Linked DNA regions of Drosophila melanogaster. The gene in region 2 interacts genetically with the main gene of each other region. Each region holds a gene or a part of one and is shown on either strand. Other genes may lie near its edges.

The links.
Region 1: of Papst2 (region 2) and Hs6st, changing one enhances a phenotype caused by changing the other (phenotypic enhancement), as found in Drosophila melanogaster (one study listed by BioGRID).

The regions. Positions count from the first base shown.
Region 1 is NT_033777.3:20,003,057-20,011,733, forward strand, and holds the start of Hs6st (heparan sulfate 6-O-sulfotransferase), read right to left. Parts: upstream 5,457-8,677; 5' UTR 5,105-5,456; intron 3,604-5,104; 5' UTR 3,365-3,603; coding exon 3,179-3,364; intron 1-3,178. Other genes in the region: MED25 (mediator complex subunit 25), read left to right, coding at 6,004-8,595.
Region 2 is NT_037436.4:17,038,608-17,046,131, reverse strand, and holds Papst2 (PAPS transporter 2), read right to left. Parts: upstream 3,336-7,524; 5' UTR 3,067-3,335; coding exon 2,215-3,066; intron 2,159-2,214; coding exon 1,977-2,158; intron 1,915-1,976; coding exon 1,758-1,914; 3' UTR 1,667-1,757; downstream 1-1,666. Other genes in the region: POP5 ribonuclease P/MRP subunit, read left to right, coding at 1,107-1,126, 1,182-1,419, 1,473-1,652; scaf6 (SR-related CTD associated factor 6), read left to right, coding at 3,673-3,694, 3,859-4,029, 4,092-4,438, 5,531-5,693, 5,922-5,994, 6,502-6,576, 6,799-6,875, 6,939-7,137 and 1 more. UniProt on the Drosophila melanogaster protein: Mediates the transport of adenosine 3'-phospho 5'-phosphosulfate (PAPS), from cytosol into Golgi. PAPS is a universal sulfuryl donor for sulfation events that take place in the Golgi. Essential for viability.

The DNA.
Region 1 (8,677 bases), on a different chromosome or scaffold from region 2:
CCAAAAAAATTCTCAATAAAAATGTAGAAATCCCACACTCAATTAAATTGATTAACGCTGCCATAAAACGACGACAATGAAATGAAGCGGACAAACAAATCTTTGCTAATAAAACGCGTAAGCAAAAACCAAAATGTATTCACGGAGTAAACTTTTTATGGCCCGAAAGCCGATGCCAAAGTTTGGCACGATCTAGCTGGTAACGACAAGTGTTGTGCAGTTTTAATAGAGACATAAAAACAGTGATATAAATACACGAATTTCATATGCTGTTCATTCCCCTGTAATTTGGTAAGTAAACTAAGCCCAAAAAAAAAGGGGGACAAAACATATACATAAATGCGGAAAATGCGCCGTAAAAACCTAAAACAAAACATTTTCATTGTGGTTGAGGTGCGGGTATAAATTTCGGAAAACATTTCGGCCAAACAAAACAGAAAAAGTCATAAATAGTTTTCATTTCATTAGCTGCGCTTTGTGAATTGCACCAAAATCCAGACAACCACTGCAGCAATTATGAAAACTGAATATGCAAGCGTATCGAAATAATAAACATCGCCTTTTGTTTATTCAATCAGATAAAGCAAAGAGTCCAAGTGAAGTGCATAAACAAATACACACCACCTGTAATTGAACTTTGGACCTTATTTGAAATGTGCGTAAACAATTGCAGATCGGACGTCACAGCAATCACGAAATTCTCCAGCCGCAATTTATTTAAAACTCAAACATACTCAAACAACTTGAACGCGGTATTTAATTAATGGCTTTTTATCAAGACTGAATAAATATTCAGTGATTTAAAATTTGCATAAATTGAAATAAATAAAACCAAATTAGAAAAAAATATAGCATTTCAACGAGGCAGAGCATTAAATATTCCGAGCAAGAGTCAACGATGTTGTTTATGTTCAACTGGCAGATAGTGTTTACACATTTGTGGCTACTTTAGAAATGGAACAAACACTGCGAAGATAACTGTCAAATAAAGTTTCCTCTTTTACTGACCAATATTGTATGCCACAGGCTGTAAATTAAAGCTGAAATTTAAAAATGTGTCAGAAACAAAGCAATGTAACTATTCAAGTACTTATTAACCTGTCAATGATTGTTTCTTTTAGCAGTTTTAATAAATAGACTTCAATTACATTTTTTGCTATTAAGTTAAAACCTTTTTACTTTGTTTTAAGAACTCATAAACAATAATTTTTTTAGATTTAATATAGTAAAATGCACCTATTGTATATACCGAAAAAACGGAGCTGTTTGAAAACAAACCCGCCAAAGCAATCAATTCTGTTTTCCTTTCAATACCAAATTAAATGCGATTCAGTTTATCGAACAGTAGCAATTTATATTTTTTATTATCTGCCTGTCATATTATTAAATCATTTTTTCCTCGCAAGTAATGTAACATTACTGGCTTAATGATCTGAAAGAGGACTGTTACTGCTACTTAAGTTCAGCAAAGAAGGACAATTAAAAATAGCTTGTAATTTATCAGGCCAAGTAGCAAGAGTTAAAGTATTCCGGGAACAAAGTACTCCCATTGCGACCGAGTAATTTATATTCAACTTGGCCCATTAAGGTTACAAATCTGAAAGAATCACCGAAATGGGCCGCCCTCGCATCCCAAATAATAGAATAATCTGTCTGTTTTCCATTGGACACGCAACCTCATGAGCCCAATTTTCATGTTTGCCTTTCGCCACACTAATACAAGCACTAAGCATATTTTTCGTTTATGGCGCGTACAACTAATTAAGCTATTTTTAAAGACGGCGAATTTTCCAACGTACGCATCGGCAGGGGGCGTGGCCACGCCCTGCTCGTCACTATGTCTGGCCAGATCGCGTGCGGAAAACAGGGAAAACCAGAGGGCGAGGCAGCTGCGCTCAATTAATGTCATTTTGGCTAGCTATTTCAATTTGGAAAATAGTTTAATGCTCACTGCAGACAGACCCGCCGATAGCAAAAAGCGAAAAGCACGAAAATATATAGAATAAACATTTATATACATATATCTGTATCATAAACACAGCCATTTGACATTGAACTCTTGCTAAAAGTCACGCCCACTTGACTTCTTTTTCGGTTCTTGGAGCATCAACGAATTTGTTTCTTGTTTAATTAAAGACCGCCAGAACGAAATTGAAACATTTTTCAACAGCCACACATATGATAGAACTCATCGAGGCGTATGTATTTATGTATGTACATATATTAAATTTTTGTTTCGCCTGCAATTGGCAATTGATGACCTTCTTCAAACAATTTCATCGTGGCTTTTTTTAGACGTGACTGGCACGAGCTGGATTAATAGTTAAATATATCCAAAGTACGCAAGTATATGAACACCGCGAGGCAGCAAAAATTGAAGGAATAGCGACTGGTGCGGGTTTATGTGTCCCCAGGGTAGAATTTTATGTGCTGTTTTGCCTCGGTTCGGTTTTTATGGCCCACGAATGCACTTTACACCTCGGCCATTAAATCATTCATTAGATGCGCGGGGGGAAGCCTTATTAGTCCAACAGATAAGACAAATTTCAATCAACCACGCCGAAGATTTATGGGCGATATTATGAGTAGTGACCCAAATATACCAACCAGAAATCCATAGTTGTTTGTAAACTTTATGCTACAGATTAGACTAATTTCAATACGGGGCACGCGTGTCAAAGATTTATGAATAATAACACAGAAGCACAATCGCCTGCAAGCGAAATCTTATTATGTTACACATTTTCCATTTTTGGAGGAATTTCATTAGCACCTTTGCGTTTGCGTAAACAATTTCCGAGTTTTAAAGGCGCCAACCGAAAGGCTGTAAACAAAACATTTTGTTTTGTCTAATTAAAGCTCCCAAAAAATTGATAAACATCGAGAAAGAGTTCTATATTATAAAAGCTGTCTTTAGCGCCGAAGGGAAAAACACTCCAACGCATATTTTTATACGAATATTTTAAATAATAAATTTATTAATGCGCCATAGCAAAACAAGTTTCGTGCGATCCAAAAATGTATGAATGGTAATTCCAATAAAAGCACACATGTACGGCAAATATTAATGAATAAATTCAGCATTTCGCCAATTGGTGTGCTAATTTGCATTGGAGCCAAGTAACAGAAAATTATAAATTATAAGCAATGGGAATTAATGAGGGGATTTGGCACTTACCTGATCTTGACAAAAGTATCCAAATCCGATGATGCCGGCGATGGCCAGGAAGAGGCAAAACACAATGATTGTTCGGATTTTGGAGCGCGGTTCCATTTTCTTGATTTCATAAACACCACTGGGCAGCAATAAGGCAAAATCACTATCGACTTGAACAGATACGTTCTTATGCATATCCCCGGGCATGTTCCATTCCCTGGCCTCCCTCGAAAATCGCACTAAAGGTCCAACAAGGGTCCACCCGAGTGGAGTCCAAGCGGGTATCCGTATCGGCCTAGCGCAACGAGAACCAGACGCGAATCGGAGGCGAGGCCAACTCAATCATACTTCAGTCGCTGCCCGATAAGAACTCGAAAAATGGGAACACCTTCGCCCATTGCACTTGGCGCGGAAATGGGTTTTCCTTGTCTCTCGGCTTTCAGTGCCTGCAAATGGAGTAAGAGTGAAAAACGGTTAGAAACCTATTAGTTTTGGGAGCACTACAAAAGCAACACCGTTTCCGATTAGTTACCACTTGACCATGCCGATAAAGCGGTCTGTCAAATTGTCTAGCCCTTATCTAGCCACTTACTTAGTAGCTGAAAGCTCTTCAGGGGAAAATCAAAAATAGTTTTTAAGAACCTAAATCTATGGCAGACTGATAAGAAGTTCACAATTAAAACGTACATACATAGTTAATTGGACTTTCTATTTTTTTGTTAGGGTCAAAAACTGATAAGCAGGCGGTGAAGTTGATTTATCGTTTAATCTGACCCTATTTTAATTGCAAATCTATTAGTAAGTATTCAAGACGGGCGTGAATAACAAACGTTTGTGCAATAACAAATTTATCTTTATTTGTGTGGGAAATCTTAAATTAAATTTCCACGCGCGAATGCGATCTGCAAATGTATAGCGTAACGATAAAATACATAAATCAACCAATAATGACGCAATAGTGGAAAGTGAATGGCGGAGCCGAAAGCAATGCATTTAGTATACCCTTAATCAATTAAAAATACGTTTAAATACGTTTATTATTTAAAGCAAAAAACCTACATCCGTACATGATAATACGTGCAATTACTCAAATAATAACTTATTATAGTTAAAAAATAGTTTGTACTTATTTCATTTAATATTTAAATTATCTAGTGATTCTTTATTTATAAGAACATATTGTAGTTCAGTTATAAAAATAGTTATCAATAATATGGTAAATATAATGAATGAACAGCCTTTGTTGTATGGGTGATTATTATCACAAGTCGCTTTATCTGGCTTCGATATTGTTTATATGTGATAAACCCGATTGGAAAATGCGTAACATATTAGGGTTTGAATGATATTGACTACATGCGAGTAAGTTGCATTTAGGTAGGGTATTTAAATGTACAAACACCCAACTAAAATAACTGGCGATCGGCAGTCGGAGTGACGCCCAAGCATAACTGGTGCCTTATATTTATGTAGGCGCTTTTTACTTCACGATCGGTGCTTCTGTAGCGATCACAATTATTGTAAACAAATGGAAAAGTTGCTTATTGGCAAATTGGACTAACAGAGAGACAAGAAAAAAAAGGCAGATGTGGCGAAACATGTTGCCAGGCAACAATAACAAAAAAGCATGCATGCTGTGCACACATGGCCGTTTAATTCACTTCTCTGTACTCTAAACTATACTTAAACCATGCTAATTGCCTACCCAAATTATCAGGTTTTTCGAGGCAGTGACGTCAGGGCAAGGAGTATAATTATAATAATAGAATCAAACGATTTAGCAACATTGCAGTAAAAAAAAACAGAAGCAAAGGGGAGCAACAAAAACAGAGAGAGGGCAAAATAAGAGAGAGGACAACCAGACAGAGCGAGATGCCAAACAACAGCTGTTCTTCTTGCCAGATGCGAAATGGGCAATTTAATGAAATTTATCTAGATTTCACTCACTTTTCACTTGCCAAACGTCGTGTTTGTGCACTTTTCACAATTGTCGCGGCGTCACACGTTTATTTATTTACATTTCTCTGCGTTTCAGGCGCTCGCACGCTCAATTAGCGCGCTTTCCGCTTTGTGCCACACATTCTGTGCCAGCCACAAAAAAGCCCGCAATTCGCACTTTCATGTGTTTTCGGCTATTTCTGCGATCGTTTTTCCTGCACTTGCACTGCTCAATAGCTAATGTTTAGTTAATTGACACTTTCTAAGCGTTTTGCGTATATTTTTTACGAATTATTTTGGCAAAACGACGCGGTACCAGCGTCAACGTCCGCATTCTTCAAAATCGGCGAATGAACTGAACAAAACGAACTGCGCAAGTTGGGCAATAGGAACAGCTGACCGCGCTGCCAGACTGCCGAACGGAAACTCGCTGCGAGAGTCTGGCAGCACTTGCAACCATCGATATAAACTATTGGTAACGAATATTTAAAGAATTAACTTTATAGTTCCATTGAAAATACATACATAAAACAACTATAATTATGATACCTAACATAAAACATCGTAATATCTTATTTATAGTTATCTTTTGTATGCAATATTCAATTTTAAGTTAATTAGATAAACACCAAACGTTTTTTTATTTGTGAAAATAGAAAAAGAATTCAATAGAAACAAGTTTTCAAGGCAATCTGCATATTCTTAAATCCAACTTTATGGGCACTTTTGAATATTCATTTATTTTGCAGCCCTAGCAATCGCTGAGCGATAACCATAAGTTGACTATCGATAGCAGCAGAGCGATATGCAAAACAAACGAAAAAAGTAAAAGAGCGGTGTAAAGCAGACAACATAGTTTACATTTTTTGCAACAAGTTTTTCAACTTAAAGCCAACTCCCATCGTCCAATGGAGGTGGACCAGATTCCCCTGGCCGACGTGGTCTTCGTCATCGAGGGCAGCGCCATCAACGGAGCCTACATCAACGAACTAAAGACCAACTACATCCTGCCGACTTTGGAGCACTTCACCACTGGCTCCATCGACGAGCGGGAATACCTGATTGCGGAGCGCTTTGCCACTCTGTACGGTATTGTGGTCTACCGTACAGCGGCCAATCTGCTGGAGCCAGTTTGTTCAACCTATGGTCCCTTTCTGCAGCCCCAAAAAGTGATGGAGACGATCGAAAGATTGCCACTAGTGGGAGGCGGAATGGAGTCCTGTGCCCACATGGCCGAAGGATTTGCTGCGGCCCACGGCTGTTTTGATGACATCAGCGAAAGGCGCCAGTTGCTCGATCAGACCAGCGTCCAGAGGCACTGCATTCTCATCTGCAACAGTCCGCCGTACCAGATGCCCACAACGGAGTCGTGGAAGTATCCGGGCAAATCATGTGAGCAGCTGGCGGCGCTCTTCAACGAGCGCAAAATCAATCTCTCCATTATTGCGCCACGCAAGATGCCGGTGTTGTTCAAACTTTTCATGAAGGCCGACGGAGATCAGCCCATTACGAGCAAAAACTATGCCAAGAACATAAGACACCTAGTGCTTCTAAAGGGATACAGCCTCAAGGAGAGAGCACCTAGTCCCAACAGCATGGCGGCCCAAATGGCTGCACCCAATGCGGCACAGGCTACAGTGCAGCAGCAACAACAACAGCAACAAAATCAAGCTGGTCAGCAACAACAAGGGCAGGGCATGCCCATGGACACCACTCCAGCCCAGCAGCAGCAACAGCAACAACAACAGCAGCAGCAACAGCAACAACAAGGCAATCCTCAGCAGCAGGTCATGAACATGAACACGATGCAGCAACAGCAGCCCGGTCCAAATCCCCCAGCGGGCTTACTCAATCCACAGCAGCAGCAGCAACTATTGCAGCAGCAGCAGCAGAATCAATTCGTTTCCAATCAAATGCAGAATCAGAACTTCCAGCAAAACGTGGGACCCGGCCAAAACCGCTGGATGTATCCCAACCAGCCTGGTCAGGCGCGTCCGCCCTTCATGCAGGGAGCAGGCAATGTGGGCGGTGTGGGCCAAGGCGGCGGCATGCAACAGAATCCAAATTCTGCTCTGATATCGCGCATTAATGCGCCGCCGCCGAACCAAACTGTGACCTCGCTGCAGCAGCAGCAACAGCAGCAGGCGCAGCAGCAGCAGCAGCAGCAACAACAGGCCCAACAGCAGCAGCAACAAAGGATGCAGATGCTGAGCCAGCAGCAGATGCTAAATCACCAGCAGTTGCAGCAGCAACAGCAACTGGCCCAGCAACAGCAACAGCAGCAGCAAGGACAGCAACAGCAGCAGGTAAATCCCAATGCAGGAAACAATATGATGCCGGCTAGCAATGCCGGCAACATGTCTAATCCGCAGCAGCAGCAACAACAAGTAGGACAACAGTCGAATCCGCAGCAGCAGGGCAATCCGCAGCAGCAACAGCAGGGAAATTCGCAGCAGGAGCAGGCCTCCTTGAGGGAAAAGATATGGACCGGAGTGCTGGAGTGGTCAGAGAAGCCAAAGTCCGATCAACAGAAGATTCCCCATACACTCCAGTGTACCGTGTGCACCAACATCAAAGATGGCGAGCCCGAGATCAAGGCTGAGAACTGGCCGCCCAAGCTGTTGATGCAGCTAATGCCCAAGCACCTAGTTGGCAATATTGGTGGGCAGTTTCTCAAGGACTCGAAAATGGTTGTTTTTCGACCCACTCCAGGAGAGGCACTCGATTCGCTGGCCAAGATGATGACCTCCGGCTATGCTGGCTGCGTCCACTTCTCCTCCATCCCCAACTCACCAGCCTGTGACCTTAAGGTTCTCATCCTACTCTACACGCCCGATCGCAACGCTTTTCTGGGCTTCATTCCCAATAATCAGGCAATGTTTGTGGAACGTCTGCGCAAAGTCATACAGCAAAAGCAGCACGGCAACATGCAACAGCAGCAGCAACAGCAGCAAATGATGCAGCAGCAAGGCAAGTCGCCCATGGAGCTGCAGCAGCAACAGCAACAACAACAACAGCAGCAACAGATGCAACAGGATAACTCGCAGCAGCAACACTACAACCAGTTCCAACTCAATATGCAGATGGGTGGTGGAGGTCCTGGCGGCGGACCTGGTCCCGGTCCCGGCGGCATGCCCATGCAACAGAATCAAATGCAGATGAACATGATGCAGCAACAGCGAATGCCACTGGGCGTAGGTGTTGGCGTGGGTGTTGGTCCCGGTGGCGTGCCCAATCCAAACCTCCAGCAGCAGTTGCAACAAGTGGCGCCAAACGTCGCCGCAATGCAGCAGCAGCAGGCGCAACAGCAGCAGCAGCGCATGGTGCGTCCCATGATGAGCAACAACAACCCGGGGCTGCGCCAGCTCTTGCAGCACCAGACCACGCCAGGCAATCAGTTCCGGCCGCAAATGGGTGGCCAGAATCCCAATCAAATGGGAGCAGGCGGTCCAATGGTCGGCAATCGCAACTTTGACGACGGAAACTATGAGTTCATGTAGGCTACTTAAGAGTATCGTATAAAAAACCAGAATTAAGACAGTAAAATATTTTATAAAATCCAACTGCAAGTCTTTTTTGGGG
Region 2 (7,524 bases):
AGACCACAATCGGTGAACTTGCCACGGAAAAGCGGAAAAACACGAATGCGGCTGCCGATCAATCGGTGGATGTTCGGATCGTTGGAGTATATGTAGCGTTTTTCCACGCCGCTGCCCGAATTTTATTGTTTTTTAGAAATGACTGTAAAGTGCGATGGGAAAAAGCAAAAATAAAACGCGATCGGAGCGTATCCCGCCGCATTCGCTGCCCCGGAGACTGAACACGAGCCGTATAGTGGTTTTCCACGGCCACCGATCGCTCGTTGGATGGAGCACATCCCATCCAGTGGAGCGGCATGGGGAGCCGTCGACGGGGCAGCCACGATATCTGCATATGTGCGCCAGCCAGCTATAATGCGATGCGTTGCGCTGAGATCCCCGCATCCCCAAGTCTGCGAATATATATCTATATATTATATAGATATGTGTTTAGATTCAACGAACAGATGGAGAAATCCCCACTGGCACTGGAGCAATGCCCCCCATTCCGTTTGTCGCCGGAGAGCGAAACGTGGGCAGCGGCAGTGAGGAATGTTCTGCCCACATCCATGAATTGGTCGACAAGTTGCCAGTTTCTCTGTCCGATTCCCCGAATCCATTGTTCAATTGTCAAAATACAAGTGAATGGGTGGAAAACAATGTATGTCCATGCATTTATTTTCAATACATCAAACTCGAACAAAAGACTTTCTAAAAAGTAAAAGGTTGATTTTTCGATTGAAAATATACACCAAATAAGAAATTCTAAGTTCTCACGCTATATAAACATATTGAACATACAAGGTCATTATCTATTCAAGCGTTCCAAATAAATTACAAGACTTTTGGATTTGGAAAAAAATTTGAATTTTTTAGAGAGAATATCGGATATGCAAATAAGGATAAAGATATATAAATAGTCTTTTCCAGCTAACGTTTATTTAAATACAGCTGAATCCTTTATTGAGGAATATTTTTTTCATCCGTATACAATAAGACAACATTTATTTATCACATAAAAAACCGAACAGCTATTTCCGGAATTTTGAAAACCGATACGTTATCGGTAGTTGAAGCGAATTTGGTCTGGCAACTATCTGCGACGTTGCCATATTGATGACACAGCGATGGTTCGCATAAAGAATAGGTAAATATTGACCGCGTTTTCCTTAACGATCATTAATTAAACCATCCATAAACAGGTATATAGCGGTGCAGATTGTGCCCTACACGCCAACACAATCTCTGCGACTCAACGACCACAGCCTGACCAAGATCCTGCTTCAGAATGTGGAGAAGTATTACGGAGTCTATGGCCTCGCCGTGATCGAGCAGGGATTTCGAGTGAAATACATCAACGATCGCACGAAAATGGCAATCATACGCTGTCTCCATCGAGGCCAACGCTTCGTGTCCAGCGTATTGCCATTGATTACTTTGGTTGGTCTCATTGCCATGTCCTTAAACCAGCTATAAAACCACATTTCTTTCAGATCGGAGATGTACGGGCCAAGTTTAGGACGCTGTACATTGGTGCCACCATCATCCAATGCAACAAGTTCATAGTCAAGCACCAAAAACAGTTCCTGGACCGCACCATGGGTCAGATAACCTCCGCCAAGGAGCGCCAGGATCTCTTCAAGCGCGTAATGGAGTTCGACATGGACAGATAGCACATAGTTTGTTTAGAATGTAATTAAGTAATTATATTTAATGGTTTTCTTATAGAAAACCCATGCTTCCAATTCAACTAAAATGTGAGTGTTTTTGGTATCGTTCTAAACTTCGATGAGGAATTTGCGACTCGGTGAGCGGGCAACCTTGGCTCCAAATTGCTTTATTCTCTGCCGGACGTCGGCCAACGTCAGCTTGTTCCTCTTGCTGTAGACATTGAGATATATGCCCAGGACAACGATGAGGCCCGACCACAGATATCTGAAAGTTTGGGATAGGTATAATAGAGCTTTGTCTTTAGAAATACACAGAATAGTACTTACTGTAAGGTAAAGGGCTTGCTGAAAAGCACAAAGGAGAAGGCTATAGTCACAGCCTTGCGGGCGGTGGTCACTGTGGCAGCTATGGGGGCACCACTACTCCTCACCAGAGCCAGCACAAACTGAATGCCCAGATAGCCGGACAAACTAAAGAGGAAGCCATAGCCGAAGGTCTCAACGGGATGCTAAATGGATAATACACTTTAGATCTCTTACATCATAAACCTCAAATGTTACCCACCTCCAAACAGAATGCAAAGCCGCTGAAGAAGTTGCCGGTAACCAGCATAATCACAAATAGGTACACAAAACCCAAGCCGTATGAGTAGAACACCACCTCACTGCTGGGCGCCTTGAATTCCCGCATCGCCTTCTCCTGGACATTGCCAATGGCTGCGTCGCAGAGCAGCGCTCCCGAAATCATGGCCACACCAAGCAGATTGAAATTGGGCGTCATCTGGGAGTCGGCCAGCGTGAACCAGGCCAATCCGATGCACATGCAGGTGGCTGCCGCAAAGTCCAGCAGTCCGTAGCGTTTGCCCTGTATGAGGATGCTGCCCACCAGCACGGGAATGAGCTTGCAGCACTTGAAAATCACCTGGGTGGGATAGTTCAGGTAGCCGAGACTTGAGTTGGACAGACCCATGGTACCCAGCGTGAGAGCAGCCAGAATTAGGTATGTTCTCATGGGAATGCAACGTGGCTCCGGCTCAATGTTCCAAAAGGAACCGCCGCTTATCCGATAGCCCTCCAGCCGCCGCTCCACCAAACCGAAGCCGATGTAGTAGCCAAACTGGACGAGCGTGAGGAACCATCCGTAGGGTTTGAATCCTTCGACGGTGAAGATCAGCTCCTGCAGATAGCCGTACAGGATGTACAGGAAGAAGACGCCGGCGCAGCTGAGCAGGAACTGAGTTGTGCGATTGTAGTAGGTGAGGTCAAAGCAAAGGATACGGAGTTCCGGCGGAGATTCCGACGTCGAGGACTTCCGCTGCGAGGGCGGCGAGTTTCCCGCCGATTCGCCGCCATTAATGGTGATAACGCTCCCCTTATTATCGGTCATTCTGCTGCTAGCGGATGTGTCTATATACATATACACACTATATAGTGGCTATTTCAAGATTATATTTCCAGGGAGCCCGTGTAATTCAATGCCACGCTGTCCGCGGAGTTGTCGGTTTAAAGTGCGGATTTGTCATGCCTCCTCGGATGCTGCATTAATCACGGGCCGGCGTGGAGATTTCTGTTGGGTGCAAATTGCCCTGGCTAAATGTTTGTTTACCACAAATAAACTATTTTTGTCAGCTTAGAACTGAGATAGACGCGCGGCGTTGCCACGTTGTGGTAATAATAGAAGAGAGACCGGTATAACGTGGAACAAGTTGGCAGCTCTGCTACCACCGTCATTCTAATTGGAACTTCTGCTACTGGCAATAAATACATTTAACAAATGAGCAGCGATAAAGGTTTAAGCCGCTTTTTTGCTCAAAAAAGCGTATGATAAGCGCTAAAAACTACTTAAAAAGTAGTGCCGAGAGTAACTCCTAGTATTTGACTACATGTCGTTCTAAGAATACAAAGATATGGGCACACTGTCGGAAAAAACAAGAAGAAGCAGTGAAAAGTGCCGCTGAAAAAGTGCAAAAAGTTATGAATTTAGTATTTTACATAGGATAATAGTGCTAATAACAGTCGCAAAATGGACGTGCAACCGCCACGCGGTAAGTGCAGCAATTAAAAAGTGCTGAATATAACTTAAAATCAAGCTAATTTTGTGCCCAAGTCGATTGGCATGCACATGTGTACACATACAAACAAACAAGCGCACGCACAACCTTTGATATGCTCACATTTTTTGCAAAAACCATTTGCTTTCTATTTGCAGATGCCAGTTTACGAAATATTATCGACAAACTGGCGGAGTTTGTGGCCAGAAATGGGCCGGAATTCGAGGCGATAACCAAGCAGAAGCAGCAGAACAATCCAAAGTTCGAGTTCCTCTACGGCGGGGAGTTCGCCAACTATTATCAATTCAGGGTGGCAGCGGAACAAGCTCGTGAGTGCGTTCTAAATTGGTGGAAAATAACCCCTATAATCTCCTTTTAACACCCAATACAGTGCTAAAGCAACAGGCCATTAACCAACAACTGCCACCAGGTGCTCCATCCGGCCACTACATGCAACATCCGCCGCCAATGCAGCAATCCCAACCACCGGGCCTCTATCCGCCACCCAATCAGCAGCCACCGCACCCGCCCGAAACCGCACAAGACAATATGCAACAGCAAACACAGCACTCCTGGCCGCCGAACTCCGGCAACGGTGGGCCGCCAAACAATCAGCAGGCCAATGGCAATCCCATGGCCATGAATCTAACGTCACAACTGGAAGCCATCAAGATGCAGCAGAAGTCGCTGCGGGAACAGATCCAGCAATCCGAAGCGAATCTCTCCGCACAGCACACGGTAATTTGAAGTTGGAAATAACTGGGATACCTCTATATGCCCACCTTTGCAAGCCTTTTTCCGAAAGATTAGAGCAGCTCGAGTGTATAAAGAAAAGATTTCAATATGATTTCATGTTGAATGTTGGCCTCCTCTGGCAAAAATTTAAAGAAGCAAATTGGTTTCCTTTTTAAACTAAATACCCACCTAAAAGTTGCTTTTATAGTCTGAATATAAGAACGTGTTTGCTTCTTCGAATTTTTGACCTCCCTTTTAAACGACCCAATCGAATGTGAATATACCTCGATTTTAAGCCAGAATGCTTTTAATTATTTTCTTAAGAGAGAAGATAACTTGTATAACCCTTATATACTTTCGGACTTAAATGATTTCCAAAGATATTGTCATAGACTCATAGATGGCAGTTTTGTATTCCCTAGTTTTTGTAATAACAACTCTGGAACAAGAGTTCATCAAATGGTGTTTAATATTAATAATTATGAACTGCTTTTGTGGACTTTTCACTCTATAAGTACTGTGAACTAAATTCTTTCTAATAAGAAGGACATTTCTTATTGCTTGTCGCTATTGAATTTCCCTGTAATGGAAGTGACTTCCCTCTTGAAATTGTTTCTTATGAAACTAATCCACGAATTCCTCAGAATAATCAATCCTGCTCTCGACCCTTTTCCAAATGTTTTTTCAATCGATCTACTCAGTTCTTGTTCTCCAAGTGCGGATAAGATAAAGTTAAAGTGTACTTTCAGCAATATCAAACTACAATCTATATTTGTCATTATTTTTACTATTTAATTAACAATTTACAATGCTACATTAAATTTTTGCTTTATTGTATTTTTTGAAACATAAACCAAAAAAAAAAAAACCAAATCAAACCACTCTTCATACCAACTGACAAAACTGTATAAAAACAAAAAAAAAACAAATCCTAAAATCAAATTTGTTTTGAAACGCTTGTCAAATGAATCCCAAAATGCGAATATGCATGCGAACAAACCTTTGTGTGCCTAATGACCAAACCGAACCGATCCGAACCACACCAACGCTTGCGATCCTAATCGCACCAATCAACCAAACGAAACCAACCTGTAGGCCCTGATGAATCAGAAGACCAAGCAGATCGAGGATGCAATTGCGGCGGCGCAGACGGCGCAGCAGGAACAGATGGCTGGCGAACAGGGCATTGTGCTGAGGGACTTCGATGGCGTTCTGCAGCCGATCATCGAGTCCTGCACGAAGGACAGCATCTCTGCAGGTAAATACGAGTTCAGCGGACAGGCTGGATTACATTATTGCTTGTTTGTAGTCTCGTAATCAGTCATAAGTTAGCTAATGGAGCTGAATTTTTGATGCTCCGCAGCTTTGCTGCACACAAAGCGCACACTAAATGAATCCATACTACTTTTTGATTAATCCTAAACCTAATTTATAATCGCCATGGACAATGACAATATGAGTAACCCGTTTGATATTGCAATTTTAGGCAAGAACTGGATTTTACAGCATTCAACCGACAGCGCAAAAATCAATGTCGTTTTACAATATCTTTTAAAGAAGTATGCCTCAGTTTTATACCTAATGACCTGCAATATGTATTAATTAAATTGTGTTTCTTTCTTTCAACGAGTGAAATACTAACCAAACATAGAAAAACGAAATACGAAATATCGAACAAACAAGTGAGAGATGATCGATTGAGCGATTGTGCGATTGAGACTTCCACAGAGAGGCTCGAGATTGATTCGTTGATTCGTTTTCGAGAGATGTTATGATCATATATGAGTAGTCCCCAGATCCGGAAGTCTTTTAGCTAGGGCCACACACCCAAACAAATCATTTTACTTAATAAGCTTAACCATAAACACGCACAACAACACACCAACACTTAACAGTGATAATCATCGGACAAAAAAAAAAAACCAAAAAAAAAAACACAAATACCAAAAAGAAAGAAGATTTACTAACAAAAATCATTATACTTGCACAACAAGTACTTTTGGCAATGTTGTTGTGCATACAGAGAACTAGAAAAATATGTTTTTCGTTTGTTAATTTATTTTTAGGGCTTTGGTCAATGGTTCAACGTTTCAGCAAAAATTGCATCTTATATATTTAGTTAATGATATACTCCATCACTGGTAAGTTCGCCCAGTCAATTATTAGTATAGTATAGTATTTAAGGGCCATAGACCTCAATAACTAACCCACTGAGCAGTAAGACTACTTTGTGGGTTAGTTTCTGCGGACGACTACGCTGACAGAATTGGACTGAACCTGACCGACCACCGGACTTCGGACATCATACCTTGACATTTAGAGTAGCTAGGAGATGAGACCTAAGTCCAACGATATATTTACAGCATGCGCAAGAACATCAATGACTTGAAGAACAGCCTCGAGAACGTCGTCATTCCGATGTTCTGCAGCGCCGACTTGAGTATGTATTTCCACTTCGATCCATTCCTTTACGGATTTCTAATAGTGTTATCCTCGCCCACAGTTGGCAACCCCGACCAGCGCCAGAAGCTAGCCAAGCTGCTGTCTCTGTGGGAGTCCAAGGCGAAGTTCTTCGATGCCTGCGTCATCTCGAAGCTTCAGTCACCGGACTCGTCAATGCAGGAGTACAAAACCAATCTGCAGAACACACATCATGATATAACTGCTAAATTCACGCAGAATACCAAGGCGACTTTGGATAAGTAAGTATAAAAGTCCAAGAACATAATAGAGCACATAATAAACCATAACTCTTATGCTTCAGCTATCAGAAACAGCATCATGTATTTATCCAACATGCTAGCCAGCAAATTGTGCAGCTGGAGAAACAGGCGCAGCACCTGGAGCAGCAGATTGTGGCCCAGAAGTCCCAGCAGCAACACATGCTTCAGCATCAGCAGAAGAACATACCATCGCTGATGTCCCACCGAATAGCAATGCCGGGTGACCATGAGCACATGAATAGCCAGGGGCCGCATGATCAGCAGCATCCGCAGGCGGGAAATAATATGTATCCAGGTGGTAACTTCCAACAGCAGCAGCCACCACCGGGGAATCACTTTGCGGATCCACGCGGACCGAACTTCTTC